7 linked regions of the Macaca mulatta genome follow. The protein of the gene in region 1 interacts with the protein of each later gene in a pairwise test. Links are inferred from orthologs where the notes say so. Each region holds a gene or a part of one and is shown in the gene's direction. Other genes may lie near its edges. The genes, in order: MTUS2, CEP95, LMO4, LENG1, CCDC116, ZC2HC1C and C8H8orf34.

What was found.
Region 2: the proteins of MTUS2 (region 1) and CEP95 interact in binary tests that used the Homo sapiens proteins (3 or more experiments, as listed by UniProt). The two-hybrid records come from large-scale screens. The link is inferred for Macaca mulatta from reciprocal best matches to the Homo sapiens genes MTUS2 and CEP95.
Region 3: the proteins of MTUS2 (region 1) and LMO4 interact in binary tests that used the Homo sapiens proteins (3 or more experiments, as listed by UniProt). The link is inferred for Macaca mulatta from reciprocal best matches to the Homo sapiens genes MTUS2 and LMO4.
Region 4: the proteins of MTUS2 (region 1) and LENG1 interact in binary tests that used the Homo sapiens proteins (3 or more experiments, as listed by UniProt). The two-hybrid records come from large-scale screens. The link is inferred for Macaca mulatta from reciprocal best matches to the Homo sapiens genes MTUS2 and LENG1.
Region 5: the proteins of MTUS2 (region 1) and CCDC116 interact in binary tests that used the Homo sapiens proteins (3 or more experiments, as listed by UniProt). The two-hybrid records come from large-scale screens. The link is inferred for Macaca mulatta from reciprocal best matches to the Homo sapiens genes MTUS2 and CCDC116.
Region 6: the proteins of MTUS2 (region 1) and ZC2HC1C interact in binary tests that used the Homo sapiens proteins (3 or more experiments, as listed by UniProt). The two-hybrid records come from large-scale screens. The link is inferred for Macaca mulatta from reciprocal best matches to the Homo sapiens genes MTUS2 and ZC2HC1C.
Region 7: the proteins of MTUS2 (region 1) and C8H8orf34 interact in a two-hybrid assay, tested with the Homo sapiens proteins (2 studies listed by BioGRID). The two-hybrid records come from large-scale screens. The link is inferred for Macaca mulatta from reciprocal best matches to the Homo sapiens genes MTUS2 and C8orf34.

The regions. Positions count from the first base shown.
Region 1 is NC_133422.1:9,392,590-9,396,375, forward strand, and holds part of MTUS2 (microtubule-associated tumor suppressor candidate 2), read left to right. Parts: intron 1-1,637; coding exon 1,638-1,736; intron 1,737-2,865; coding exon 2,866-2,985; intron 2,986-3,786. UniProt on the Homo sapiens protein: Binds microtubules. Together with MAPRE1 may target the microtubule depolymerase KIF2C to the plus-end of microtubules. May regulate the dynamics of microtubules at their growing distal tip.
Region 2 is NC_133421.1:74,430,857-74,434,642, forward strand, and holds part of CEP95 (centrosomal protein of 95 kDa), read left to right. Parts: intron 1-290; exon of another isoform or gene 291-464; coding exon 465-557; exon of another isoform or gene 558-1,153; intron 1,154-1,402; coding exon 1,403-1,535; intron 1,536-2,321; coding exon 2,322-2,491; intron 2,492-2,601; coding exon 2,602-2,676; intron 2,677-3,786.
Region 3 is NC_133406.1:153,320,172-153,324,641, reverse strand, and holds the start of LMO4 (LIM domain transcription factor LMO4), read left to right. Parts: upstream 1-1,419; 5' UTR 1,420-1,793; exon of another isoform or gene 1,794-4,470. Other genes in the region: uncharacterized protein LOC144332728, read right to left, coding at 850-1,419. UniProt on the Homo sapiens protein: Transcription cofactor. Plays a role in establishing motor neuron identity, in concert with MNX1, acting, at least in part, to disrupt LDB1-LHX3 complexes thereby negatively modulating interneuron genes in motor neurons.
Region 4 is NC_133424.1:66,391,158-66,395,440, reverse strand, and holds the start of LENG1 (leukocyte receptor cluster member 1), read left to right. Parts: upstream 1-1,353; 5' UTR 1,354-1,376; coding exon 1,377-1,508; intron 1,509-2,622; coding exon 2,623-2,802; intron 2,803-4,062; coding exon 4,063-4,283. Other genes in the region: voltage-gated chloride channel TMC4, read left to right, coding at 68-223, 529-607, 700-768.
Region 5 is NC_133415.1:31,362,045-31,366,555, reverse strand, and holds the start of CCDC116 (coiled-coil domain-containing protein 116), read left to right. Parts: upstream 1-1,644; 5' UTR 1,645-1,736; coding exon 1,737-2,006; intron 2,007-2,784; coding exon 2,785-3,339; intron 3,340-3,453; coding exon 3,454-4,038; intron 4,039-4,511.
Region 6 is NC_133412.1:148,262,168-148,266,654, forward strand, and holds the start of ZC2HC1C (zinc finger C2HC domain-containing protein 1C), read left to right. Parts: upstream 1-1,637; 5' UTR 1,638-2,016; exon of another isoform or gene 2,017-2,435; intron 2,436-2,817; 5' UTR 2,818-2,836; coding exon 2,837-4,165; intron 4,166-4,487. Other genes in the region: ACYP1 (acylphosphatase-1), read right to left, coding at 1,475-1,637.
Region 7 is NC_133413.1:78,994,567-78,999,090, forward strand, and holds the start of C8H8orf34 (uncharacterized protein C8orf34 homolog), read left to right. Parts: upstream 1-1,574; 5' UTR 1,575-1,632; coding exon 1,633-1,959; intron 1,960-4,524.

The DNA.
Region 1 (3,786 bases):
AGTCCACGGGAGGCTGGGCACGGTGGCTCACGCCTGTAATCCCAACACTCTGGGAGGCTGAGGCGGGTGGATCACTTGAGGTCAGGAGTTCAAGATCAGCCTGGGCAACATGGCGAAACCCTGTCTCTACTAAAAATACAAACATTAGCTGGGTGTGCTGGTGCGCACCTGTAGTCCCAGCTACTTGGGAGGCTGAGATGGGAGGATCCCTTGGATCCCTTGAGCCTGGGAGGTGGAGGTTCCAGTGAGCCGAGATCGTACCATTGCACTCCAGCCTGGGCAACAGAGTGAGACCCTGTCTCTCTCTCTCTCTTTCTCTCTCCTTCTCTCTTTTTTTTTTTTTTGTGTGTGTATCTGTATATCTATATACTTTTTTAGAAGAGTTAATGGGAGACCCTAGTTTCTGTGTTTTGATATTATAGAAATGGTGCTGGGCAAAGAGCTTTGGACTGGTCTGCATGAGTGAGACATGACGGGTGAAGCTCTCCTTGGGCATCAGCGGTCCTTTGCCAGCCTGTGGTCCTGAGAGTCATGGCCGGAGCTGAGTGGGGCAGGGTCAGTGCAGGTGCATCTGCGCTGGGAGCTGGGGAAGGGGTGCAGTGTCTCCATAGACACCCTTATATTCCTTCAACCTGCAGGTGGAGAGTGGCCAGCGGCCTGCCTAACTGGCAGGCATGGGAAGGCTAAGGGCTGGGAGCGCCAGTCTGGCCACGGGGCGGGTCTGAGCAGGGAGGAGGAGACTGTGTGGAGTTGGCTTACGTGGCAGCTCCTATCAAGGACATGCAACCCAGTCCTGAGGCCGGGAAGGCTGTGTGGGAGCCAGAGTGAAGCGGGAGTGAGAGGGAGCTGGCTGGAGGAAGGCACTGGCAGCAGGAGAGCTGGCACAAGAGGAAAGGGAGGCAGCGAGGCTGGGAGGACGCTGTGTTAGGGAGTGTGCACTGCAGCTTGAGGGCAGTGGGGTAGGAGAGAGGAGAAGGACAGGTTCCGGTTTGCACGTTAGAAAGAGTGCCTCACTACAGTGTGAGGGCAAAGGAGTGATCATTCAGAAAAAAACAGGAACCGTCTCAGAAAGTAGCCAGCAGAGTGGCCGGAGCTCAGGGGAGTCTGTGGGTTCTAGGGACATTCAGGATGGCAGGACTTGATTATGGACTTCGTGATGAGAAGGTTTGGTGATGTGGGAGGGGTCCCAAGGGAGAGAAGGAAGTCAAGGAGGGCTTGAAGGGTTCTGGATTGAGCTTCCTAAATGAGAATACATCTTTGAAATACGTTCATCGTGGTCCTTCCCAAAGCCAGGGGCTGGGTGCCTCCTGGACAAGAGGCGCCTCTGAGGATTCTCTCTGAGGATTGTCTGCCTCTGTGGGATCAGAGGTTGTGAAACGCCCCCGGCTCACTGTGCTTTTGTGGTCTCTTCCTGACAAAGCACCAAGGAGGAGTGAGCTGAGGGCAGACGCGGGGGGACACCCTCCTCCATTGTGTGGCTATGGGGGTTCCCCTTTGGCATCTCTTTCTCCAGCCCCCAGGGAAACACTCTGAGGGTGCTCAGGGCACAGTGGTGGCCCACTGATCACAGCTGCCCAGGCTGTGGTGGCTGCTGTCTGTAGTGGCCCCAGCTGGACTCCTTGTATCATTACTTGCAGGACCAGGTGGACACGCTGACCTTCCAGAGCCAGTCTCTGCGGGACAGAGCCCGCCGCTTCGAAGAGGCCTTGAGGAGGAACACAGAGGAGCAGCTGGAGGTAGTGTCTGGATTCCAGGCTTCCAGCCCCGCAGGGACCCCGCCCCAGCGAGGCCAGCGGGGCTCCCTCAGCAGTCCAGTCCCGAGACAAGGCCTCTCTGTGAATCCACTGCTGAAGTGACAGCTGGTCACGGCCTCCCCTGGATTTTTAAACAATTGCTGTCAGCACCTCTCCCCTGAGACAGACAGCAGCTGTGGGTTTCTCCAGCGACGTGTTATTTTTGCCAAATTCCGCAGCATTCCCCAGCTGGAGTCCCAGGGCTCCTGTGATAAGCATGGTCTGGAAACCCCCACCCTGGCCCGGCCACCCCTTCCAGCCCGTTCCCCCGGCCCGGCCACCCCTTGCGGCCCGTTCCCCCGGCCCGGCCACCCCTTCCAGCCCGTTCTCCCGCAACTTTTTAGGCTGACGTGGGGCAGCCTTGGCTGCAGCATGCGTTAACAGGTTGAGGGGAATTTTTTCCAGAAAAGCTGGCAAAGTTCCTTCCCTCTAATGTAGGGTTGCCAAATAAAATACAGGACACCCAGTTAAATTTGAATTACAGATAAATTTTTGAGTATAAGTCTGTCCCATGCAATACTTATACTGAATTTTTTAAAATGTCATTTATCTGAATTTGGATTTAACAGGACCTACTGTATTTTAATTTGTTACATCCAGCAGCACTACCCCAACGTGACTTTTGTCTAAAATGGCTTTTCTGCTTCTTAAACCACTTGACTCATTTCCTATGCATGGGCTCTTTACGGGCATAGGTGAGACCTGTAAGAGTCCCAGCTACCTCGTGAATCAAGTCTTCCGGGTGAATGTTAAAAGCCAGTGTTGGGTTTACTCTTTCTACCCCATGAGCTCCCTGCTAGGCATAGGCTGGCAGCACCCAGCAGTTCTGGAGTCAGACTTTCCAGTTCACGATGGCCGTGTCTCACCTGCTCCCCCATAGAACTGGATTTTAGGAGGCTTCTCAGTGGGAAACTTTATCAGGGAAGGCTGTAGCATCCTCTCTCTTTGGTGTCGCAGTTGCCATCAGGGCGCTTGTCCCAGGAGGATGGATTTAGCTGGATTCGTGGTATTGGTTAATACTGGGTTTTGTCGGGAGCCCTGGTCAACAGCTCATGGCTCTCTGCCCCTGTAGATTGCATTGGCTCCTTATCAGCACTTGGAAGAAGACATGAAGAGTCTGAAGCAGGTATTAGAGATGAAGAATCAGCAAATACATGAGCAGGAAAAGAAGATTCTCGAGCTGGAAAAGCTGGTGAGTTGGTCCGTTTGCTCGCGAGAGTAACTAACCTCCATGACATTCCTGCTGTCATCACTGAGGTCATCGTTGACACTGAGGTGTTCAGCCAGGTGTGTCTGTTACCTGCCCATTGCTTACACCTATGCAGAAAATCCCACCGCAGGCCTTTCCCAGGAAGCCAGGAGCTCTCATAAGGAATCTTGGAGGTGGCCTTATCTTGTCCAACTCTGGAGCCTTTCTGATGGGTGGCCTCTTTCTGCTTTGCGCTGGTTTTCCCACAGTCCTGCTGTCTCCTTGCCCTCTCTTGGGGACGTGTGGTGACCCAGCACAATGCAGCATCCCCAGTGCCCAGGCACTGCACGGAGCACTTTCCCCGAGCCTGCTCCTAACTCCTACAGCTGCCTGTGGAGGAGCTGCCGCCCCCAGCCGCTTTACAGATGCGGAGATGGAGCTAGGAGTCCTGGCCCAGTGCTTCGGGTCCTCACAAGGCAGTAGGGGCCAGGGATCTCCCTGGGGCCCTTTTTATAAGGGTATTAATCCCGTTCACAGGGGCTCACCCTCAGGACCTAATCCCCTCCCCACAGCTCTGCCTCCTAATACCATCACTTTGGGGTTAGGTTTCAGCATAGGAATTTTCAGGGACACAAACATTCAGTCCAGAACAGAGTCCTTGCTCTCACCCACACTCGTCCACCTCAGCCCACCAGCCTGGCTCCTGCAGAGCTAGTAAAGGGGAGCACAGAACACCCAGGATTTCACACAAGCCCCTGGCCAGGGCTAGAGTCCCAGAAAGGTGTGCAAAGGGAATGGAGGAGA
Region 2 (3,786 bases), on another chromosome or scaffold:
AAAATACAAAAAAAAAAAGTTAGCTGGGCGCGGTGGCAGGATTTTTTTTTTTTTTTTTTTCTCAAGGCGGAGTTTCACTCTTGTTGCCCAGGCTGGAGTGCAGTGGTGTGATCTCGGCTTACCTCAACCTCTGCTTCCCGGGTACAAGTGATTCTCCTGCCTCAGCTTCCTGAGTAGCTGAGATTACAGGCATGCACCACCACGCCCAGCTAATTTTGTATTTTTAGTAGAGATGGGGTTTCTCCATGTTGGTCAGGCTGGTCTTGAACTCCCAACCTCAGGTGATCCACCTGGCTCAGCCTCACTGCATGCGACTAAGCTTGGATGCTCAGTTGAGGCACCGCTGGGATTCAAACCCTGGATCTCCTGTTTACTAGACGGGTGCTTTACCCAGCTAAGCCATGGTGCTGCCCGTTATATATGTTTTTAACAACTGTACTATCATATGACCTTTTCCCCTATAGGCATTTACTGAAGCATTTGAAAGGGAACTAAGAAGACATAAAGTTCAAGAGAATATTGGACCTCTAAGAATACATGAGAAGGAGGAGGAAACAGTGGGTAAAAGTCTACACTGTAATAAATGCCATTTGATCAGATGAGGGGGAAGTACAAAGATGATCTTTTTAAAAGAAGAAGGGGCCAACAGGGCCTTAATCATGAGCTCTTTAGGAAAAGGCAGGATTTCATGTCATGATACAGGACTTTTACTTCTTAATAAGGCATTCAGGTTGCTAAAATATGACAAGACGTGGTACCAAAGAAAACTAGCGTTTTTTTCCCCTACTTAAAACTTACCATCAGTTTTTATAAGGGTATTTGACTTAGCAGTTCAAGGTCTTAAAAACTAGTCTAGGCTGACAAAATTAAAGAAGAGTAAGAGAAGACAGAACATCCTAGTTGCTCTAGACCTGGTTGTAAGAAACTCAAAACTGAAGTTTTCATTGCCTTTCAAAAGAATGGTTACAGAAACGAAATGAAATCATGGGGAAAATGCTTATGCTAAAATATTAGTGAACAAAACAGGATATAAAGTACAGTATGGTTACAACTAAGCATACTGCATAGTTGCTTGAGAATTTTTTTAAATCTACATGGAAAAAGAGAAGTACATCGAAACATTAATAGGTTAAAAAAAAAAATTAATAATAGTGGTTGTATTTAGGGTGTGGGACTATGGTGACTGAAACTTGAAAAAGATTCAGTGCTTTTTCAAATTCCAAGGGATGCCAGAGGCCAAAAGATGCCTTTAGTTTAGAGTGAGTGAATTATTAACCAGATTTTACAAATTTGAAGTAAGGTGGGAAGTAGTTAGCTATTTTTGTCAATATGTAATATTTAAGATGATGCATGAAAGAACTATTAGACCTTTTATTTTTATTGTTTTGTATCTGCTTCTAAGGAAAAAATATACAGAGGAGAAGCTGTTCTTAAAGAAACTCCAGAATGTAGTCAGCCCTGGAAGATTTACTCTAGAAAAACCACAACTCAGAGTCCAAGAGGTGGCCTCCCAAAGCCAAACAAAGCAGTTCCAAGTAAGAACCACAGAATTGTACTTTATGGAAAACTGGCAGCCTTTGAAAGCGAGTGCAGCATTCCAGGGACACAGCACTGAAAGCTAACATCCACCAGTTAGCTGAAGAAAGTTGTTTTTTTTTTCTTTCCACTGCCAAAACTCTTCAATAAGGAAGTACCTTAGGGAGGCCTATATATTGGCACCCAAGGAATGCCAGGACTGCCACCTGCTGCGCCACCATTAGCCTCACTCCTGTGCTTACTCACTTTGGATGCCTTTTTGTCTGTTTCTGGGAAGTTGGTAGAATGAAGGGGATGCTCCAAGGCAAGCAGATGACCTGTCCACCTCCTGTATATTGACAGTGCCAATGAGTGTAGAGTCTTGTTACAAGGAAACAAAGCCATGAGAAATGCCAGGCTTCCTGTTATACCCCAAAGATTGCTGGCCCTCCTACTATATCCTTTAGACCAGAAACGTTTCTTCTAAGCACTTGCCTACCAGGAGGGTTGAGGAGTCTTCTATTTTACCATACGTAGAGAATCTACCCGCAGGCACTGAAGCAGCTGAGCAATTAGGATGGACTTCCCAGGACCAGCATGGCATCAGTCAGAATGTATTTTTATCCTTATCAGTAGTTGGCTTACTCCAATCAGAGGAGGAATGCAAATTATTATAAGTACATTTAGAATTGTTCTTTACAGAATCAAAACCACATCACTTACATAAGCTTTGATCTACCAGGGATGTTGGATGACAGTTCTTGTCCACAAGTCTCAGATTAAGAACATCTTCTTTTACCTTGCAGTGAAAGTAAGTGAACACAGTCTCCTGCCCCTTATGCTGGAGCAGTTTCCATTTCTCTATGTTTCTGGCCCAACACTAAGCAAAATGTGGAAACAGCAAATTGCACAGGTTGAACAGCTTAAGAAAGAGGCATGTAGAGAAAATCGATCAAAGAAGAAACTGCAAGATGAAGTAAGTTACTGTCAGTCTTAAGCATAGAAATTTAAATGAGAGAAGAGCTTATCCTTGAGAATTGAGTGAACAGCATTATTAACCTACTTGATTTCGTGTCCCCCTTCAAGATAGAAGAAGCCCTAAGAAGGCATGACCTCCTTACTACCCTTGTCAGGAAAGAGTATGAACATAACAAGAGACTGGTATGTCAAGAGCAAGTTGGGTATTATAATTTTGAATTTGTTATATTCATTCCCTTTATGTGTGCTAGCTGGGCAACAGTCCCACAGACCCTTCACCTCTAACACCTGCATGTGGAAGTGTTGCTTAGGTCTTTAACCAAAATTGATAGCCCATGCCTGTAATCCCAGCACTTTGGGAGGCTGAGGTGAGAGGATCACTTGAGACCAGCCTCAGCAACATAGTGGGACCCTGTCTTAAAAAATATATATATGGGTATGGAAAAAATGAGCCTGGCATGGTGGCATTTGCCTGTGGTCCCAGCTACTTGGGAGGCAGAAGTGGGAAGCGTGGGAGGGCAAGGCTGCAGTGAGCTGTGATCTTGCCACTGCACTCCAGCCTGCATGCCAAAGTGAGACCCTGTCTCAACAACAATAAAACAAACCCAGAATGGGCAGGGGAAGAGCTAGGTACTTTATGTACACAGTTGCAGTTAGTCTTTATAGTAATATATTAGAGATGTTTTCTATGAAATGAAAACCCTGAAGCTTTGAGATATTAAGTAACTTGCCCTGGGTCTCACTGATAAGCGAGGGACACAGCTGAGATTTTAATCCAGTTCTGTCTGTGGACCTCCATGGATCCGTCTAGGTGCCAAGTGGCTGAACTTAGTGCTGTTTGCCATCTCCCATCCTCAGGTCCCAAGTAGAGAGCTCCGGGATTTATCAGCCTCCGTTACAATTTTGATGAGAAATTGTACTTAGAGAATTATGAAGGGAGAGGATGGAGGTCAGAAACAATCTGCCAAAGGAAGAGATTTGAAAATCTTTGCCTGAGTGTGGAGTAGAGATAAGCCATGAGAACTATAATACTAAACAGTTCCAGAAAGATCTCAGGAACTGCAGATGGTACTTTGCTATGGGGGGGAAAAACACTAATAACTGAAACACCTACATAAGAGTCTGTAGGTGACCCCATTTCATCTTCACTCCTTTGTCAGATATTGTCTAATTTCCTTAGTTTTTGCCTAATTAAATACTCCTGGCAGCCCAGGCTCTGCTTGAAAGTCTGGATGTGCCATTTTCCTACTCCTTGTGAGCTGGCATATGGGCCAGCCTTGTTAGCAGCCTCCC
Region 3 (4,470 bases), on another chromosome or scaffold:
CCTAGGTATGCAAGCATCTAGGCTGTGCTTCGGCCTTGGAAAAACTCAGGCCAGCACCCTAAAAGCATTCCTCAAAACTTGATTTATACTAGAAGTGACATTTCTTACTCTCTAGAGGCTGTGAGATTGCAAATCTCGCAATTACTTCCATTGCTTTTGGGGGCTGTGAGAATTTCCGCCTCTCATCCTCCACAGTGAGGAGGGTAGTCGGGCAAGGTTTTCTCCCTGAAGTTTTCGTCAACTTTGAAAATAAGGACTGTGCTCCCTACATCACCAGCAATTGACAAGGATCCAAGAAATGCCTGCTAGGCACTTTCACACTCGGGTAAATGGGGGATGAGGGAGGCTAAGTAGGCAGTATTTAGCTAGCAACTATTATTTCCTTTATGTTTCTACCTTGTTAACTAAGCTTCCACTACGGTTCATAAATCTCCAATATCGTGAATTAAAGAAACAACAACAAAAACCCTCTTCTGTGTGCGTGTGCGTGAGGGGATAGAAGTTCACTGCCCTAAGATGCAGGACTTATCTTCCCAAACAGGAAGATACCCATTTCTGAGAAAGATGGTAAGTTTCCTAAGGGTCTCCTCTCAGATCGAGGGGATGGCAGTCCCCGAGGAGCGAGCGGGAGCGGGTCCTCAGGGTCCCCGTGCGCAGAGAAGGCAGGTGAGGCCCCCCCGCCCCACCGGGTCTCGGCTCCGGATCCCGGGTCGCGAAGGTCAGCCCAAGCGGGTCCCCGGCGCCAGGCGCCAAGCGGGTCACTTCTCCCCACCTGATTCGGGCCCTTCCCTTCTCCTCTGTCGGCCCGCTCCGCCGCCTCACTCTCTCCCCCGCCCCCCGAGTCTCGTTTCAGTCATCCCTTTGTCCTTCCCCGGATTGGCAGGTTTTATTATTCCGCCTGAACAATCCGGCCGCCCAGTGGCTGAGGGTCGCTGACGTCGGAGGCAGAGCCGGGGAGTAGTTGGGATTTTGCTCTGTCAGTAACACATGTGTAAGAGCCGCGGAGGGAGCGAGCGAGCCGGCTAGAGGCCAGCGCCGCCGCCGCCGCCGCCGCCGCCGCCTCCTCCGCCTCCGCCTCCGCGCCGGGCAGCAGCAGCCCCGGCAACAGTCCCGGCAGCGGCGTAGGCTCCAGCGCGTCGGGCCCGGCCGGCCGCAGCTCCCGACTCCTGGGCGCGCCTGCCTGCCGGCCTCCGCACCGTCCGCCGCCGCTCCCCGGGTTTCTGTGTCTGCGGCTGCTCCCGGGCGGAGGTGCAGGGAGCTCAGTCGAGCCGCCGCTGCCAGCCCGGAGCGAGCGAGCGAGCTAGCGAGCGCGCGGGAGGGAGGAAGGCGGCGGCGGAGGAGGAGGAGCGGGAGGAGCGCGAGGAGCGCGGGCGGGGGCGGGGGCCGCCGGGCGGGGGAATATACAAAGTGAAGCCACATTGCCAAACTTGCAGCAGCGATTGCAGCAGTTGCTGCCGCTGCACCGCGCCTGAAGCCGCGTCGCGCGGGCCGAGGGCTCCTGCAGCTGCTCGCGCGCAGCCGGAGGCGGAGGAGAAGGACGAAGACTGAGACTGACACTTCTGCTCCCGGCCGCCTGCCACTTACGCGGGGGCCCCCCAACCCGCCCCAGAGCAACGCGATTTAAAAAAAAAAAGCCGCCCTTAGCCCCCTCCTCCCCTTTCCTGCTTCTGCGAGAACTCCCTCCCTCCCTCCAGCTCCGCCAGCCCAGGCGCCCCTTCCCTGGAAGCCGAGCGGCTTCGTTCGCATTTCACCGCCGCCGCCTCTTGCAATATTGCAATATAGGGGAAAAGCAGGTAAGGGGGCGGCTGGGGGAGCCGCGGGCCGGGAGGTGGGAGAGAGAGGGAGGGGGCCGATTCGGGCCAGGGCTGTTTTCTTTGGCTTCCTTCCCCTTACCGTCCCAAATTGCAAGTAAACAATACGTCGCCTTAGATAAAGCGCGAGTCTGAAACTACCGAGGCCGGCCTGCGAGCTAGCGCGGAGGGCAGCCCCGGGCCGCCAGCTTTGTAGCGGTTCCTGCTTACAAAAGGGCTCTTCTTGGAAACGGGGCTGGTGGGGACCGTAGAGGGGGTGGGATATTTCTAGTTCATGAGGGAAAGGGCAAGGGGTGCTTAGATGAGGTTTTAAGTATGAGAAGTAGTGTGTTTGGGGGGGTGGGGGTGGGGATAGTCACGATAACCCCCCCCTTCTAGTAAACACTAATTTTGAAACAGTGGCAGGAAGGGTCTAAGTGAGCAGGATTCGGTATTGCTAGTTCTTTTTAAAACCTCTTGGTTTATAAGTCTTTTGTTACAATCCAGGAGAAATACGGTGAATCACCTAATTAAAATCAAGACATGAATTAAGCATCCATTTTTGTACTACAAATTGCCAGCGTTACGTTTGTCCCTCCCTTGGTCTCCATTAAAAAACACCAGAGACGTTATTAAAGGGGGGCAGATTTTGCCTCTAGCTGCCAGTTCTGCTTTCTATTTCACTGACTATCCCAGGACCTAAATTGCTTGGCTATGTAATTACTAGAGTATAAGCCTATTTAACTTAAAAGCTTTCTTCTTCTTTTTTTTTTTTTTTCCAACTCTAAATGAAACTTGATGAGGGCCCGTCCTTAGTTATCAGGGGAGTCAGTTTCTGGTCAGTCCTCTTGATTCATCTCTTTTAGATTTAATCAGCATTAAGGTATTGCTTGTCCTTAAGAGCTTTAGCTAATGGGGTTACTGGATGCTTTTCTCAGTGTAATGTTTCCTTTTCAAAAAAAAAAAAATACATATATATTTACCTCTCACTAAAGATGGGGGCGGGGAAGAGCTGGGAATCTCCTCCCTCTCTCCTTTTAAAAAGGAATTCGGAGCGATTAAAACGTTGGGGGAAACAGTTTAAAGACCTAGGGCAGGAAATGCAGATTCATTTGGGTTAGGGCTGAAATTGTAACAAAAAGCAATTCCTCGAGTAAATGCATCAGATAAATCAATTTACATAAAGGTATGATGCATTCGGATAAATGCAATGCTAATGGGTTTTAGAGTGGTCCTGTTTCCAAAGTCTCAGGGTTTTGTTACAGCTTAATTGGTGCAGTTCTTATTCTGGTTTATTGTGCGGTCACTGGACACACGTTCCGGGACTCTTTCGGAGGAAATGTGTTTAAAATCGGCCTATTTAAGGAACCCGAGTCCCTGTTTCGTTCGTTCCTTCCTCGTTTTTTTGCAGCAGCCAAGTTGGGCCGGGGACAGGCAAAGTTCGCCTTCTTCTGAGGTATCAGCTGAATGTCTTGAGCAGATAGCCGGGAGCCTCAGGGGGAGCCCACACTCTCAGCTTACAGAGGACAAAGACAAAACAGGCTGCTTAATTGGCAGTAAATAACTTGATCTTTTTATAGAATAAGTGACTAGAGGAACACTAGGACTTTATTGGACTCGGAATTGAAGGCAACAAATTAATCGGTTTAGGCTAAGCTTTATAAATTGATTCCTATATTATATCCCAGTTGCATCTCTTGTGGCATTCATTAGAGTGGGGAATTCTTTTTTAAAGCAGTTTTTGGTGACAGCAGAACGGGCTCGAATTTAACTTGTGCATCCCTTAATGCTGCCTTCTCGCACGTTATCTGTAACGCCGACCCCCCCCCCCTTTGGAGGAACAAAGCTTTAGCATTTAAATTGCTGATCAAGGGCAGATTAGTGAGACCAAAGTGGAGAGTGTTTGTATAGGAAGTTAACAGGCATCCTAAAGTTCAATGATCTATTATTCTTGCCTGTGTCCTGAAAACCCAGAGAAAACACTCATTGATCTTCAAAATGAAATGAGATTTGGAACAATAATGGGAGATGGCGGTCACCACAATGGCATGTGAAAGGTGCTGCTTAAAATACGAAAAACCAGTTTCGCAACTTTACACACTGCACCCCCTCTGCCGTCACCTTGCCTTCCCTCCCACCACCACGCTCTCCATCTTCCGTCTGCCGGTCCCTCCCTCCTTCCCTTTCGGAAAACCGAACTATTTCCAACTTGTGAACTCCTGCTGCACTTCCCAGGGCAGAGCCCGGGAGGGAACGAGGCTCCGGCGGGGCCGTCGCCTCACCACTCCCCTCGACTCTGTCCCGGGGCCCGGCGGGGGCTGGGGAGGGGCCGGGCACGGCGGTGGGTGGGTTTGACCCTCATTTGCTGCAGGCGGGCGGCGGAGGAGGGGGGCAGTGGGCGGAGGCGGGGGCTGGGAGGAGGCGCCGCGAGGGGTGGAGCGCGCGGCGGAGCCTGCTCTCGGAGTTTTGACAGTACCGGAGCTGAAATTGTCAGCGGCGGCAAGCGCTGGAAAGTTGAGAGGAGCTCGTGGCCCCAGAACAAAGCTTGAGAAAAGTAAACAGGCGGCTGGTGCCGGCGAGCCTCCCTCCTTCGCTCTCCCCCTCAGCCTCCTTCCCGCCCTTGCCCTGCTGTTTCCTTCCAGCAGCTCCGGGGGGAGGAGGGGAATGGGCTTGCTCTCTC
Region 4 (4,283 bases), on another chromosome or scaffold:
CTCCCTCTCCCCCCATTCAGTGTTCAGACTCCTGGCTCTACTTGAACCCAGCCTGTCTTGACTTCAGGATCCCGCCTTCTAAGCCGTGTGGTCCATTCCGGGGGCAGTCGTCCATCTGGGCCCAGATCCCTGAGTCTATTTCCAGCCTCCCTGAGACCACCCAGAACTTCCTCTTCTTCCTGGGGACCCAGGCTTTTGCTGCGCCCCTTCTGCTGATCTCCAGGTGAGGTGGACCAGACTTCTGGGTCTGGGTTTGAATGCGTGTGATCTGGGGGCCACCACCTGCGTCCAAGAGAGGAAAGGCTTGGGGGTGGGAGCAGGCAATGTACTGAGTCTGAGGGAGGAGGCCTAGGCTCCTGGACTGCTGGGTCCGAAGGAGGAGGTGGGCGGGACTTAGGACTCCTGGATCTGAACGCGGAGGTGCTGGGAGACTGAACTCCTTGAGCCTGGACGAGGAGGGACTTAGGGGTCCACATCCCTGACTTCGAAGAGCGTGTCAGGAGTGGCTTCCGTTCCTGTCTCCTCCAGCATCCTGATGGCGTACACTGTGGCTCGGGCTAACTCCTACGGACGCCTCATCTCTGAGCTCAAACGTCAGAGGGAGACGGTGAGCCAGGCGGGTCCCTGAGAGGGCCCCCGGGGAACACGGAGAGGGGCTGGGGAAGAGGGCTGTCACACCTCCACCTCTCTTTGCCGCAGGAGGCGCAGAATAAAGTCTTCCTGGCACGGCGCGCTGTGGCGCTGACCTCCACCGAACCGGCTCTTTGACCCCCGCAGCTCACGCCCCACTTTCAGACCCCAGGCCCATTGTAAGCCTAGGTCACAACATCTGTAAACTAGGAGAACTGGAGAAGACTCCACGCCCTTCCAGCTTTGATATCTGGAGATTTCCAGGGCCCCTCGCCGCCACGTCCCTGACTCTCGGGTGATCTTTCTTGTATCAATAAATACAGCCGAGGTTGCTGAGCGCGCTTTGAAATCTGCGTCCTGAAGGTGGGGGCAGGGCTACCGCAGGGCAGGAGCCAATCAAATGTATGGGCATGTTTGTCGGTGCGGAGCGCACTTCCGCAAGGAGACTTGACGGTCATGTCGACCAATCGACGGCCGCATGTGGTAGCATCGGGGCGGGCCAACTTATGATTGGTTCAGATCTGTGATAAGAGGCGGTTGCTAGGGGATACCACGAGCCGAACGCCTAACATTCGCTGTGAAAAGGACGTCTCAGCCAATCACCTGTCGTTACAGGCCAGGGGGCCGTACCAACTAATTCGGAACCAATCTGCGGTCGAAGTAGGGACAAGAGGAAGGGGGGCATCCTCTCGCCAATCGGAAGTGCAAAGAGGCGGGCGTGCCAGTCCCTGGACAGCTACGACGCCATGAATATCTTGCCCAAGAAGAGCTGGCACGTCCGGAATAAGGACAATGTCGCCCGCGTGCGGCGTGACGAGGCCCAGGCCCGGGAGGAGGAGAAGGAGCGTGAGCGGAGGGCGCTGCTGGCTCAGCAAGAGGTAAGCTCGGAGGCCGGCCGGGCTGACCGCCGGAGCCCAGCGCGCACGCGCCGCGGTTGGGGGCCGGAAGCGGAGGCGTTGCGCAGGCTCAGTGTGCCCCGTGTGAAATTCGGGACCAGGCGCCGATCCCGTTTTCGAGGACGTTGCTCTGCAAACCTTGTGGCCACTTCCACGAAACCTCCCTTGATCTCGCCTTCGTCTTAGTTTCCCCCCACTGATGTATTTCACATGGCTGGAACAGTGTCTAGCACAAAAGAGCAGCTTAAAAACATTTAATGAATACATGAGCGCTTGGACAGTTCAAGGAAATTCGGATCACGTTTTAGTTTGCCTGCGCAGTTTATTTATTGAGCACCTATTGTATGCTAACTACATGCAGAGCGCCTGACTTGCGGAATCCCCAGGAGGCACTGTTCGTTCTTAGAGGGGCACTGTCATCTCCGTTGCACGGAGTGAGATGGCTTCAGTGAGGGGAAGGCACATTTAAGGAGAGGGGGACAGCCAGGCTCCACGCCATCGGGCGAGCCCTTTCCTGCACCGCCCCCTAGACACATACACACAAACACGGGCTTTCTGTATGGCTCCTTAAATCTGTTTGGTGTACACCCAACTTTCAGTTCCTTAGCTAGTCTGATCCTCCACAGTGGGTGGGAGGTAGTCTGGGTTTTTAGAATCTCAGTAGGCTGCTGAGCGCTGTTTGAAATCTGCGTCCCGAAGGCGGGGGACAGGGCTTCAGCAGTCGACTTGGGGTAGTGACTTGGAGCCATGGCTAGAATTCAGATCGTCTGGCCTAATGCAGTTTGGTCTACCTTTATGGCTGTTTTAATTGTCTCACTTGAGGTTAGGAACCCCTTTGGTTTAGGCCAGGGACCTCCTTCCAGCCATCCTTGATGACCCGTGGTTTACGATTTGAAAGGCAGTTTACAAAACCCAGGCGTTGCCTCATCTGCCTACCCTCACCCGCAGCTAGGACAGGTGCCTCTTTTAGGCGTCTAGTGCTCCCTTTCTTATAACCCCAGCACCCTGGACTGCCATTTTCTGTGGTGGGCACCAGACTCACAGTTCTTGAATCACCTCTAGGTTCTGAATGCCCTGCCTATAACTTTCTCCCCAGGCCCGTACAGAATTCCTACGAAAGAAAGCCAGACATCAGAACTCACTGCCTGAGCTTGAAGCAGCAGAGGCGGGAGCCCCAAGTTCTGGCCCTGTGGACCTGTTTCGGGAGCTGCTGGAGGAAGGGAAAGGAGTGATCAGAGGCAATAAAGAGTACGAGGAAGAAAAGCGACAGGAGAAAGTAAGCTGGCCTCACCCACTTCATTAGAGGAGCCATGAATCGAGTTGGGGGGAGAGGGCACTTTAGCCACTGCTTGTGATCAAGGTCAAACGAGAACGAACACACAGAATTTAGAACCATACCAAAGCATGACACTTAAGAAGTGTTGCCATCTGGGCACCCACAGGGCTTGGAGGTAGATGCTAGAGGTCCCCAGCTGCTAGGCAAACTGCTCAGTTCTCAAAACTGGAGGGGTCTGAAACCTTGATAGGCTTTTAAAAATGTAAATCAGCCAGCTGTGGCTCATGCCTGTAATCCCAGCACTTTGGGAGGCTGAGGCGGGTGGATCACCTGAGGTCAGGAGTTCAAGACCAGCCTGGTCAACATGGTATCTCTAAAAATACAAAAAAATAAGCCAAGTGTGGTGGTGCACGCCTGTAATCCAGCTACTTGGAGGCTGAAGCAGGAGAATCGCTTGACCTGGGAGGTGGAAGTTGCAGTGAGCTGAGATTGCGCCACTGCACTCCAGCCCAGGTGACAGAGCGAGACCCCATCTCAAAAAAAAAAAGAGAAAAAAAAAAAAAGGCGAATCATTCGCCTCTTGCCTTTTGGCTAAGATCAAGTGTAAAAAGTATGTCTGGTCGTGCATGGTGGCTCACACCTGTAATCCCAGCACATTGGGAGGCCAAGGTGGATGGATCACCTGAGGTCAGGAGTTCAAGACCAGCCTGGCCAAACATGGCAAAACCCCGTCTGTACTAAAAATACAAAAATTAGCCGGGCATGGTGGTGCGTGCCTGTAATCCCAGCTACTAGGGGGGCTGAGGCAGGAGGATTGCTTGAACCTGGGAGGCAGAGGTTGCAGTGAGCCGAGATGGTGCCACTACACTCGAGCCTGGGCAACAGAGCGAGACTGCATCTCAAAAAAAAACAGGTACATGAGCTCTTGTCACTCACCTGCTGTCTCTGGACTTGCTGACCCCACCCATGGCTCCTCTGCTTTGCTTGATCCCTTCAGGCTTCTCTTCAAGTCTCTCTGCAAAGATGCCTGCCTCTGAACACTCAAGTGGCTCCACTTGTCCCCTCCTTCCCCTGCTGTTACCTGCCACTGTCCCCCCACGGGGAACTTGGCCTCTGTTGGTGTCTTCCATCCCCAGCACCTGGTACAACTGGTTCATGACAAGCCTTAGGTACCTGTTTGCTTAGATTCCTATGTCAGGGAGACACACCTGACACCTTGAAAGATTATATCCCATCTCTTGTATTTCCTGGCCCCCTCAGGAGAGGCAAGAGAAAGCTCTGGGCATCCTGACGTACCTGGGCCAGAGTGCAGCGGAGGCACAGACTCAACCCCCTTGGTACCAGCTACCCCCAGAGCGAGGGGGGCCCCCTCCTGGCCCAGCCCCAGATGAGAAGATCAAGAGCCGTCTGGACCCTCTTCGGGAGATGCAGAAGCATCTGGGGAAGAAGAGACGGCACAGCGGTGAAGGCAATTGCAGCAG
Region 5 (4,511 bases), on another chromosome or scaffold:
AAAATGAAAGCAAGCATATACACTAATGGGTTTTTTTGAGAAAACATTATCTCCTGTTTCCATCTTGAGCTCTCTGCCAGGCTACAGCTTTTACATTAATAACTTCACTGTTTTTCTCTTTGGTCCAGAAAAGCTTTCCTTACCCATGACTGTATATGGTAGGCAGCCACAGTTTTCACTGCAACGTGGCAGTCTTGATTTTTCCCATGGTATTTGTGTCCAGACTATGAAATTGGTAATGTCATTCCTGTTTCACAGATTAGGAAACGGGGGGTCAGAGAGCGAAAGTGTGGTCCTGCCAGGAGTAGTGGAGATAAGACTGAACCTCACAGCTCAGGGCCTGCACCCAGACCTGCTTTGTCCTCTCTGTCCCTGACCTAGTGGGTAGCCAGAGCTGAGAGGACAGAGCAGAACTCGAGAGTAACAATATTTCATGAGGTATGTGAGGATTGAAAGCCTCATAGAGTCCTTCAACCATGCTCTTGGCATAACGACTGTTGTGTTTATAGTGACTGGTGAATTGTCAGACCTCAACCAACCACCATTCTCCACTGGAAGCTGATCTTGGAAAGGTCAGAGGTCCCGAGGGTGCGCAGATGGGAAGGAGGAGACTGACATTTATTGAGCACCTACTTGGTGCCAGACACTGAAAGTATTAAAGATTCAGGGTGACTTGCCTCAGTTCTGGCCCCAAAGGAGCACCATCTGGTAGACACATAAGTAGCAACATGGTATGGTGGAGTCTGGAATGGGGTTTACTGTGAATCGTGTACGGAGTGGCAGAATTCACAGTAAAAGCTTTTTGGAAGAAGTGACACTGTGGTGGGGTATTACTGAGCAAAAGAGAAAAGGAGGGAGGGAGAGGAGGTAAGAATATTCAAGGCTTCACTGGGATACGGGGTGTGTTGTAGGGAGATTGTATTGAATCCCATATTCCCATATTGGAAGAACACTCAAGCCCATTTAGAGTGCAGGACCAATGCTAAGAGAGGCTGAGTCACATTGGCAGGAAAGAGCAGAGCCAGGAACTGAAGCTAGGTCTGTGACTGAGAGCCAGCACTCTCTCCACTGCAGAGGGGAGAAGTCTCAAGGTAGAACCTGGGGCTGTGCACACCGCGGGAGGGGCAGAGGCCCCTGGAAAGGAACAGGAGCAGGAGGCCCAGGGCTGCGCAGCGACCAGGTAGGACACGAGGAAGGTGCTTGTATCACCGGTGGAAGACGTGGCTTTGGCTTTTAGACTCCCCTCGGGGCAGGAGCGGATCATAGAGCCTAGCCCCAGCTTCGGTGGTGGGTGGGGGTCCTCCCGGCAGCGGGGACGTAGACACCAACATCTTCACCCTGCGGCTCCCAGACGAGTGTGGGAGAGCAGAGTCCAGAGAATTGGAGGTTGGGCCAATGTGGGCCCCGCCCCCAACTATTGTGTCGGAGAGGGTAGTGGATGAGCTCCTCGGTAAGAACCAATGAGGATGTGGTATGCAAATAAGCAAGTGGAGGCCGCCAGTCGACTTCCTCGCACTGTATAGCTGCCCCAGTGAGGGCGCAGACTGTACTGGCCTGCGCGGAGCAAGGCGGTGTTTCTGGTGAGTCCGTTGATTCCGGGCTGGGGCGAAAGCCAGGTTGCCCAGGGTTTGGGAGTAGGGAGGGTTAAGCACACGCAGATCCAAAGATGATCGGAGACAGGATGGTCCTCGGCGATTCCATCCCGATGACTCTGGGAACTGCCTGCCTGCAGACGCATGAGGGCCATGGAGCAGAGGAAGGGCTGGATGCATGAAGGACACGGGGTGCGGGCAGCAAGGGAACCGCAGATTCCAGGGCCACAGATGTGTGGACCTATTGGAGACCCTCACGTTGTCTCCCCAGCCCGCGCAGAGAGGAATGCGCAGCTGAAGAGAGAGGTGGGCAGCAGGCTCGGTCACCTGCCAGGTGACCACATGGCCAGGTGCCGCCACCACTCGGGCTACGTGGCTGACGATGAGGCCAGCCACTCCATGTGCAGTGCACGAGTAAGTGTGCCCAGCAGGACCCCGACCCTTAAGGCCACAACATGTTCCCCGCCAACCCTGACACCCAAGACCACAGCCCCCATTTCTCATTGTCTATTGACCTGCTCTGTGGGCCTCTTAGCTGAGTCCTTATTGCCTTGACTTCTCCTATGACTCCCCTGCTTGCCCCTGTCACACTCAATTTCATTCCTTGTTTCCTTCTGACTTCCAGCGACCTGGAAGGTGCTTGGGTGAACTGGGACCCTAGAGTGGGAACTGGGAGTTGACTAGGTGCCTAGGGCTCAAGTTGGAGAAACAGCCCTGGGTAGCACAGGGCTCAAGACCTCAGCTATTGTCTGCACTCAAGACCTCAGGTGTTGTTTGCAGCCCTGCCATGGAGACAGGGATGGCCTGCTGCATGGACAGATGAGGAGCTGGAGGGAGACTCCAAGAGGTTCATGATTGCTCATCCTGCCATGTATCAGGGCAGAAGCAGGCTAAGTCCCTTAGCCAGGACTTGTGTGTGTGAAATGTAGGTGTTAGGAAAGCTTCAGGGCGACCCTGAATAGACCTCCACTTTGCAGATAAGGAAATTGGACCTCAAGAGGGGCCATCTTGCACACTGTCATCAGGCTGTAGGTGGCAGAGCCAGGGTCCAAATCCAGGGCCTCCAGACTTCAAAATGCAGCTCCTTCCACTACTCACTCTCACTCAGGTCCTAGTGTTACCCTAGGAAGACCCCAGGGAGCCCTTCACCTGTAGGGCACCCATGCCCACTGTGACATACCTGTCTGCTCAGGTGCAGCTACCCAAGAAGCCACTGGTTCCAGAGATGGGGCCAGCCTCCAAGCCGGGCCATGTGCCACACCCACCATCCACATGTGGCAGCTCAGCGCTCCAGAACCAACGCCGAAACAAGAGGCACCCTCAGCCCTTTAGCCACTTTCTGGATTTCCTGACTGAGAGCCATGTCCTGGACAGCCTGGAGACAGTGGTGGAGAAGGCGACTGAGCGCATGGCTGCCATGAAGACCGAGGCTGGGGTGCCGCTTGTGGAGGTGCAGGACCCAGTGGAGGTGCCAAGTGGTGGGCGGCGGGCACATGCCCGGCCCAGCCTCAGCACTGTACACCGGCACCGTGTACGGCCGACCCTCTGCACTGGACACCCCAACAACTACCCATCCAGCTCCAGCTCCATGTCCGACTCCCATAGCAGCCTCATGGCTGGCTGGCTGGGCTCCCACAGCCGGGACAGTGACCTAGGTGCCCAAGGTTTAGGCTCACTGCCACCTGTGAAGGACAAACTCCTGCTGGAGAAGAATCTCAAGCGGCTGCTACAGCTGGAGAAGAAAGGGGTGAGAGCCGGGGCCATGGCTGGGTGGGGTGGACTCCCACGGAGAGCCCAGGGCCAGGGTCAGCCCTGGCTTGGCTGCTCCTGAACACTTCTCAGAGTCACCCTCTTTCTGCAGAAAGGCCTCAGTCAGTCCTGCTCCAAGAGGGACTCCCTGCTGTGGGATTTGCTGGGCAGCCAGACCAGCTTTCAGTGGACCCAGGAGCAGCCCCTGTCCTGGTTCTCGGAGCTGCTGGGCTCAAGCTCTGGTGTGCCTGAAGCATCAGAGCCGAGGCCTGGAGAACAGGAGCCGATCTGCAAACGAGAGTTCAATAAAGAGATCAAGTCGTTACTGAGCCAGCTGGAGTCCCTCGACCTGCCTGGCTACTGTCCGCTCCGTGAGCCCCATCGCACACTGAACTTCCTGGCTGACCACCGCCTCTTCCCTGCCCTGCAGAGCGTCGTCAACCAGGCTGTGGATAAGCTCCGCGGCGCCCGCTGCCGCGACGGCCGTCCTCTGTTCCCCACCAGCTTGGAGCCCCCCTCAGAGCTGCAGGTTCAACGCAATCTGCCGCCGCTGGGCTCTGAGCCGGCTAAACCCACCAACAGCGGGCAGCCCCACCCCACAGTCTCCAGCCCCAAGACGCCTCAGAGAAAACACAAGGACAGAGGAGGCTCCCCCTCCATGTCTAGTGCCCAGGTGGCCACCAGATTCAAGCTCAAGGTGACACCCATGGAGAAGCCCGATGTCCCCAGCCCCTCACTCCACTCCAGGGAGAAGGAGCCTGACTCAGATCCCAAATTACAAAACCCACCTGTTTCCCTGAGCTCCAGACAGAGGGCCCAGCCCTGGCGGGGCCTGCACCTCACCCTGCCCGCGCCCGGGATAGTGGTGGAGGTGGCCTGCGGCCAGGGCCACCTCAGGGTTGTCACACCTCCACTTGCCTGCCCCTACCCCCGCTCTTCCTGCTACCTTCTCCCTGAGCTCTCCCCAGTTGCTTCCTCATCTCCCTCCTCACTGTGTCCAGAGGTGACCTCCTCGAAGGTAGGACCGGACATGAGTTTGCAGGAGAAAGGCTCCTTGACCCGCCACTCCTAGCAGCCACTATCACTGGCAGGTGCTCAAGGTCAAGGTTTCTTGCCCTGCACTGTGGAAACCTCCTGGGCAGGGGTCAAGCTGATGGGGGCCCGTGAATC
Region 6 (4,487 bases), on another chromosome or scaffold:
ATCATCTCAGTACTTTGTGAGACTGAGGCGGGAGGATCTCTTTTGACTCCAGGGGTTTGAGACTAGCCTGGGTAACAAAGGGAGACCCTGTTGCTATAGGAAAAAAAAAAAAAAAAAGTAAGCTGGGTGTGAGGGGCACACACCTGTAGTCCCAGCTACTCAGGAGGCTGAAGTGGGAGGATCGCTTGAGCTGTGGAAGTCGAGGCTGCAGTGAGCAGTGATTGTGCCACTGCACTCCAGCCTGGGCCACAGAGTGAGACCCTATCTCAAAACAAACAAAGTCCGGGCGTGGTGGCTCATGTTTGTAATCCCAGCACTGTGGGAGGCTGAGGCAGGCGGATCACCTGGGGTCACGAGTTCAAGACCAGCCTGGCTAACATGGTGAAACTCCATCTCTACTAAAAATACAAAAAATTAGCCAGGTGTGGTGGCAGACGCCTGTAATCTCAGCTACTCGGGAGGCTGAGGCAGGAGAATCACTTGAACCCAGGAGGCGGAGGTGGCAGTGAGCTGAGATTGCGCCACTGCACTCCAGCCTGGGCAACAGGGTGAGATTCTGTCTCAAAAAACAAACAAATTTTAAAAAACCCTCAAAACCAACAAAACAGAAAACAAAAACAAAACGCTGGGGTAAAGTGATGGAGTCAATTCCCGGAGGGTACTGAAAAGCACTAATTCAAGAGAACTCATGGAAAGTGGCCCTTCTTTCTCATAGAGGAGAGGGAAGGAGAGAGGGAGAGAGACAGACAGAGACAGAGACAGACAGAGACAGAGAAGAAAGGGAGAGAAGGAAGAGGAGAGAGAGAGAGAAAGAGAAAGCCCGTACATTCTGCTGAGGGAAGCTGCGGGAGTTGATAATTGGGACCCTGAGTAGAGTGGCAAACATCTGGAGCTGCATATATGTAGAGGTGGTGCAGGCAACAAGGGATGAAAACGAGGAATTAAAAAAAAAAAAAAAAAAAGAAAAAGAAAAGAAAAAAAAAGAAGGACTGACCTGGAGGGTCCACCAAGGAATTTCTTTGTAACAGGTAACAGCTGTAATATGACATGTTGAAGTATTAACACTGATGACTGCTTGTCTACATTATTTTCCAAGTGCATGAATTGAGTAGTTACAGGGAAAAAGCGAACTGCCTGTTCCCAACGTCCTACACAGATGAACTGAAACGAAGAAAAAAAAATAAACTTTCTTTTGATGTCAACAAGTTACAGAGTATCATTTACTGTTGAAACCAGGTTATACTGATTATTTTCGATCTGGTAGTTCTTTATTATCATTACACTTGGCTGAGTCATTCCTACGCCCTAAGTACAGACGGCTAGAGTTACCACGTGAGAGTAAAACATTATAATATCAAAATAATTAGATTGGCCACAAAAATTACCCCGGAAAGATACTGCGTAGCAAAAACGTTGGCAGCAAGTTCCAAAGACTTGGCGACGACAAGCAGGGAGCGCGCACGTGCAGCCATACCTGGGGCCCGCCCAGCGCAGCCAAGCGCGCCGAGAAAGGTCAGCAGCAGCCCCGCTCCCACCAGGCAGGCGGTCGCCTGCACCCTGCGGCGGAAGCACGCGGAGGCACAGCCAGGGCCTCCGCCCTTTGCCAGTGAAGGGCACACCCCAAGGTCTGGGAGCATCGTTCTCAGGAAAGTACAAGTTCTTCTTTGATGGAGCCCCAGAAAAGCCTCTCCCGCCCTTCCTCGGCTCCCCAAGGGCAGGGCTGGACCCGGCTGCAGAGTTGGCCGGACACTGACTGGGTCAAGTGACGGTCGGGCTGACCGCACCCCCCACCCCCGGTCGCCCCGGGTCGCTGGTGCACTGCGCCTGCGCACGCCTCCCCAAGGAGTTCGCAGCGAGGGGCGGAGCTTGGCCCGCCAGTAACTCGGTCTCCAGGCACCGGGAATAACAGAAGCTAGCTGAGAGCGCCTGCGCGGCCGTCGGTTGAGGGGGAGGTCGGGTCTGGGAAACTAGGCCCTGGGGTTTTCCCTGAGCAGGAGCGGTGCCCGAGGGCCTCAGGTACGCAGAAGGGCGGGGAGACAGAGGGTCAGCACCTCCTAAGGGCCCGAAGGGCAGGAGAGAGAGAGGACTTGTCCCCAGAGGCGGAGTCCGTAGTGGGGGCGCCCCAGTTGACCCTTCGGGACAGAACGTGACTTCAGCCTTAAGGATCTAAAACCGGCTGCAGCCAGGTCAGGTGGCCCTCAACGCTCAGGTTACAAAACTTTTACCGTCTGCGCCACGGGGACTCCTGAGATGAGGGTTTGACAGCCAGGCACCTGCTCCAGGCCCTAGCAGCCTCTGTGCTCTTTTGAATCAAGCACGGTTCCAGCAGGAGGGAAGCCCTGAGAGCTCTTTGTGCCAGTCACTACCTCTGGGCCACAGCTTGCTCACCTGTAAAATGGTGAGGATGGACTCGGACGGAACCCTTCAGTTTACAGGTGAAGAAACGGGGGCCAGCAAGGGAGAAGTCGCTTGTCCTGTTACAGGCCTAAAACCTGACTTTCAATCCGATGCTCTTTCCACTTACTGTAGAGTATACTGTGCGTGGCAGAGGCTGGTGCTGGAGGAGAGGAGAGCTAGGTGGCAGGAACACCTGTAGCACCTCCGTTTCTCTACCCTCAGGGCCTAACACAGTGTCTTGTGCATAGTAATCACTCACCAAATGGTTTTTGAAGGGAAGCTTTGGCAGATCCAGCACCACTGTCCCCAGAAAAGTTTAAGGAAATGTGGGCAGGGCAAATGTAGAAATAGTTTGCTTTAGCAGACGAGAGTGAACCTCAGACAAACTCTTCGCATGTATCTGGTTTAAATCTCCCGTAGGCATCAGTCCAGGCCCTGAATGGCTGGTCTCCAGCGGTTGGCATCACATCTGCCTGTGGGCGTTATGCTTCCACATAATACAACAGAAGCTCCAGGGCCCCACTCAGCCAAGCAAGACTCTTACGAACAAAGTGACTCTTCCCAGCAGTCCTTGAAGGGGCACCTGAGGAACAATTTCCAGAAGCAGCTTTTGAGCAACAAAGAGTTGACTCTGGATAAAGTCCACACTCACCCCAAATGGAACACAAAAGCCCGGAGCTACTCCTATCCCCACTGTACTGGAATCAGCCACCAAGATGCAGGAAGTGATTTCCAGGGCCAAGTAAAACAAATTTACTCATCAGGCCCTCAATCCTGGTATCCCAAAGCCAATAACCAGGACTTTATCCCCTTTACAAAGAAACGAGTTGGAGTGGACCGGGCGTACCCACTGAAACCCGTGGTCCACAGGAAGTCGTGCAGTACAGGTGAGTCTGGCACTGATGGGGACCAGAATGTCTACCCAAGGCCCCCTGAACTGAGAGAGTTTTCATCCAGGAACTTTGATGTGAGGAACCAGGTCAACTTTTCTGTGGTTGATCCTGTTCTTGCTGCCATGCAGGCGGAGAAGGCCTTGGCAAACTTGGACAGGATGGAGTGGGTGCAGATCCGAAGACTAGAAGCTGCAGGGGAGAGCTTAGAGGAGGAAATCCGAAGAAAGCAGATTCTCCTGAGGGGAAAGCTGAAGAAGACAGAGGAGGAACTCAGAAGGATCCAGACGCAAAAGGAGCAGGCCAAGGAAAATGAAAACAGAGAGCTACAGAAAATTATATTCCCCAGGAGCAGAGTTAAAGGTAATAACAGCAACACCACGCACAAAGCTGTCTTCTCCCCAGAATTTGATTTTGAGGAAGAATTTAGTAGAGACAGGAGAGAGGATGAAACTTGGGAACGGTCTCAACAAAATTCGAGTCCATTCCAGCTCTCTGATTATAGAATTCAGAGACTCAAAAGGGAAAGGCTGGTAGCAAGCAATAACAAAATTCGAGACCGAGTCTCAGAGCCGTCGATGGAGAAGTTCTCCCCGCCTTCAGAAACACCAGGCGGTGCTTTGCAGGGATCTGCCAGAAATTCCAGCCTGTCCATGGCACCAGACTCCTCAGGTTCCAGCGGCTCCACTGAAGAGCCACAGCTGGGTGAGTGCAGCCACTGTGGGCGAAAATTCCTCTTGTTCAGGCTGGAGAGACACTCCAACATCTGCAGCAGGATACAGGGTTCCAAGAGGAAAGTGTTTGACTCCTCCAGGGCCCGGGCTAAGGGCACAGAACTAGAGCAATACTTGAACTGGAAGGGGCCAGCTTCAGCCAAGGTAACAAGAGCCTTATGGATGTGACTTGGTGTGGGGATCATTGTAGGGGTCTGTTTTGTCATCATCAGTTTTCTTTAGGGAAAATTCATGTGTCATGTAGGAAGAATTGACGTCTAGAATTAACATTTCTTGATTACTACTGTATGCCAGCATTGTGATGGGAGCTTTGCATGTGATCCTCGCATTTATCTCTCATTTTATCAGTTCAAAAATCAAGACTTGGACAGGCTAAGTAACTTGCTTGAGGTCACAAACAGCTTTAAGTGGCAGAGTCAGCATATAAATCTTGGTTAGAATGACTAAAAAATCTAGACCAAGAATT
Region 7 (4,524 bases), on another chromosome or scaffold:
GAAACCCCGTCTCTACTAAAAATACAAAAAATTAGCCGGGCGCGGTGGCGGGCGCCTGTAGTCCCAGCTACTCAGGAGGCTGAGGCAGGAGAATGGCGGGAACCCGGGAGGCGGAGCTTGCAGTGAGCCGAGATCGCGCCACTGCACTCCAGCCTGGGCAACAGCGTGAGACTCCGTCTCAAAAAAAAAAAAAAAAAAAAAAAAAAAAATACGTAAGTAAATATACCTTCGAACCACAATGGAAAGCACAAGGCAACCCTGGGCACCTCACTGTTGTTTAATTTAACTCTCCCTAGGCAGATCATATGAGTCCAATTTAAAAGTATTAATGTGGACATCTTTCCACCCTGGATCATGTCCATTTCAGGTTATCAGGGATGGTTAAGCTCCTAGCTATTCTAGCAGATTTCTTATATCTTAATATAGGAAATTAACAATAGTTCCTGGGATATTCCACTATTATCTAACTATTACATGTTTCCACATATTTAAAATACAGAAGGAAAGCATGAACACCAATAAAGAAACTATGAGTAACAGAAATTGAGAACACAGTGAAGAAAGAAAGAAAATATATACTGCTGCAGTCAGCTTTTAGGAAAACTATTTCCATCATTCTGAACATCATATTTATTAAAAATAAATCTAATTTTGGCAGCATATCATGATTAGGAGCCAGGGAAATCGTCATTGGGACCTCAGTGTTGTGTTTCACAAGAAAGAGAGCTCTGTGAGGAAGCCTGGGCTATCTGCAAATCTTCGACTCTGAAATCCCTGCATAATAAGAAAGGTATTGGCTAAATTCGAGCAGCTCATGCAGTATCTAGAGGAAACATTGTTAAGTGGGATAGTGTGGCGTCTAAGATGCAGTTATAGGTATACAGACATGACTCAAGGAGTGGATTAGTAAGGCCAACTTCGGAGGGGAGGGCTGGCTCGCTCATTTCTCTTCTCCCTGTCAAATGCTGAAGGGCTGGTTCCAGCCTTTGAGCGCCCGCACTTTGGGAGTTTTCAGCTGGGTTCTCAGGCTGCATTCACCCGTCGACTTGCTCCAGGCCAAGCCAGATTTTGAAAACGAAGGCAACTTCTTTTTTCGCGGCAAACCCTTGAACCCACGCACTTTCTCACAACTCTGGCCTTCTCAACCCCTGCGCTAGTGTAGGCAGGGCAGAAGGTGCTGAGGAGAGGCTCAGAAGGGGCGGTGGGGACGATCGCCTTTAGAACTGCATTTGTAGCTGCCAAGGAGTAGCCAACAAGCACCAGATTTATGTGCACTTTGAAAGAAGCACCTTCACCATTGGCTTTTTAAGCGGCGCTGTCGCTAGGGAGCGGCTGGTAGAGCGAGCAGCCTCGGGAAGAAGCCCGGGCTGTTTGTTCCCGTCACCTGGGAGAGCAGGCACACACAGTCGCGCGCGCACGGACACACACACACGCACGCACAGACGCTGGCGGCGAGTTCGAGCCCCGCGTCCCCTGTCCGCCCGCGTGCGCCCCTCGGCACGGCTCGCCTCCCGCCCCCTGATTCCTGCTGCTGCCGCCCAGAGGAGAAAGGAACCTCTGCCTCGAATTTCCCCACTGCGCCGGGCGCTGCGGCTAGCGGCGAGGGTGGACGCGAGGCGGAGAACGCGATGAATGAGTTCTCCCCTAGCCTCGGAGTTGTCTGAGTTGGCGGCGCTGCGCCCAGGCTTCCGGCTCTCAGCGCCCCACGCGCGCGTGGCTCCCCGGGCTGCCACTCACGGCCGCGGCCGGGGCCAAGCCAGCCACGCAGGGCAGCCGAGGCTCCGGAGCTCCTGTCCCGGCCCCAGTCCGGGTAAAAGGAGGGTTGTCCCCAGCGGAGGCGCACAGCCGCGCGTTCTCCCCGCACTCTCTCCGCGGTCCCATCTGCTCCCCATGGCGTCTCATCCGCAAACCCGGATCCAGGCTTACCTGGAGAAGAACAAGATCGGTCCCCTGTTTGAGGTAAGGCGCTGTGGAGGAGGGTAGTCCCGTTGTCTTTAGGGGAAGGGGTGCAGTAATGAAAACAGAACACCCCCCACCCCACCCCTCCCAGGGAAGGAGGGCTAGAAAACGAACGCGCGGGAGGGGGCGCCCAGGGGTTCACTGGCATTCGCTCTGTCCCGGCCAGGTGTCCTGGAACGCGGCCGGGCGGGCACTTAGCCAGTTACCTGAACACAGACAGGTGAGCTTGGGAGGGCCCAGCCTCAGCCTGGCAGCGGAAGTTTGAGCCCTCTGACTGTCGTGCACCTCTCAGCCACATGTTCAGTACCCGGGCAGGCTGAGGCAGGCGATGCATACGGATGCACACACTCAGACGGTGTTGCACATACACACTTTCTTTCTTGAATTCACGCTGTCTTGCGTGTTCGTGTTGGATTTTCTTTTTTCTTTTTTCTTTTTCTTTTCTTTCTTTCTTTTTTTTTTTTTTTTTTTTAATGAGGGCGGTAATAAAACCCGAAAAGGCGGAGGAGGTGCTTAGCAGTTAATACGATTAACTGGAAGAAAGCTGAACTGGTGAGGAGTAGGCTTCAGTAGGTGCGGGCGTGATGAATGAAACTGGCAAACTGAGAGACTGCCATTGGTCACTGGACGAAAGGAGAGGCCTTTGCACTGCAGACCCCACATGTGTTAGCAGGAGAAAGGGACAGAGAAAGGTTCTGAAAAGCACACACGTATTTATGGAAGGAGACTATAGCTCTGAGCTGGTGTTTTTTTTTTTTTCCTCGCCATTAAAGAATTGACAAAAATACAGTAGAAGAAAGAGCGGGAGGACACGAGAAAATGAGAACAAGAGATTGAAGCTTGGCACCAGCAAAGCGTCCCGGGGGTTGCCAGGGTGCTGGGCAGGGGTGGGGCGTGCGGTCCGTGGTCAGAAGTGGAGGCCCTTGGGGAGAGACTCCCATGGTCCCATCCAGTTCAGGGGGTACTGACCGGCGGCGAGAGTTAGCGGGAGGGGCGAGGTGCTCCCGCCTTGCCCCCGCCCCCCACGTCTCCCAGAAGCAGTTGTAGCTGTTCTTGGTCTTGGGTGAGGGCTTGGGGTGGGGATCGGGGGAGGTTACGTGTCAGCGTCTGAGAGAGGCAGAATCGCGGCTAGTGGAAGAGGCTGCATTGGAGATCGCGGAGAACCTAGCAAAGACTGAAGAAAAGCAAGTGAGAACTGCGGAGAACAAAAAAATAATGCGAGTTAATGACCCTGCAAAAAAAGGACGAGGAGGACAAAGGTGTGGTCGAATAGGTCTTTTGGGAGGACTGGCTTCACATAACAAGATTTGCAAGATCTCCCAAGTTTTTCTGCCGAACTTTACCGATGATCTGTCTTGGACGATAGGACCATTGTTTCAAGTGAAGCTCACATTGTGGGGTGCAGAGTCTTACAATTGCTTTGATTCTTTTTTCTGCCAAAAATGTGAACAAAGGCAATCCATGCAAGAGCGAAATAAAATTGATGGAGCTACCAGATTTCTTTGCCTTTAGTTTAATGATTATTGATTATACATAATCCTATATAATTTTTAAAAGGCAGAAGCATAAACCTTCTGCAACGCGGTGTATTAATTGCATCAAAAGAATCATAAAATAAATACATTTAGAATGTGTGTTTGCTCTCTACACTCGTAGAGTATAAAGTACAATTAGCCTGACAGAATAAACGAATTGTTTTTAATAAATACTGTTTTCATTTGTTATTCTAAAATCCTCAAGATTCTTTCCAAGTGATAACAACAAAATTAGGAATATATGTAAACTTTCTACAGAATTAGAAAATAAACTCAAATGGATATTTATCAAGTACCCCCTAACCCCCATCCTTTAATACTCACCAGCAAGTTCTGCGCTGAAGAATTTTAAGTGACAGCAACATGTCTCATAAAAGCTTTAGGTCCAATCACCAGAAAACAAGCACCACCATGCTTCATATTTTATTGAATATGTATGACATACACTGGCATTAGCTTAGATTGCAGTGGTGAGGAGTGCGTTTTTAAGGTTTGATGTTCACTTTAAATAATTGAAGGGAGAAAAATGGATAATAAATTCTCTTTTACTAAAAGCCGGATGTAACACAGTTCCTTATGCAACAATTTTGATTACGATAGAGCTTGATTTTGAGAGTACAATTATATGTATTTCACAAAATTGGAGGATTTTACTAGCATGTAGCCTATCTTGTTTCATGTTAGAAAACCAGTGAAGAAATGCCACCTGTGAAATGGACATTGTTTACCTAGGGACAGTTCTCTTCTAGGACCTTACTCAATAGTTTTCACAAGAATTGATTTGGGTCAGAGGAGGCGCCCAGCAATCTGAACGTATTAAGAAGCAGCAAAAATGTTTGCTACAATTTTAATTTCTGGGCCACGTTTTGAGAAACTGAACTAAAATCTCCATTTACCACTCACAAATTGAAATTGGCAACTCCATGTCTCGTCATCTATGCTTTGTTGTGTTGAGTCAGTGGGAGCTGACACAGGCTTCTTTCAGTTTGGAAAATGTGCAGTATCTGACAATATGTCCCCCTTGTGGATA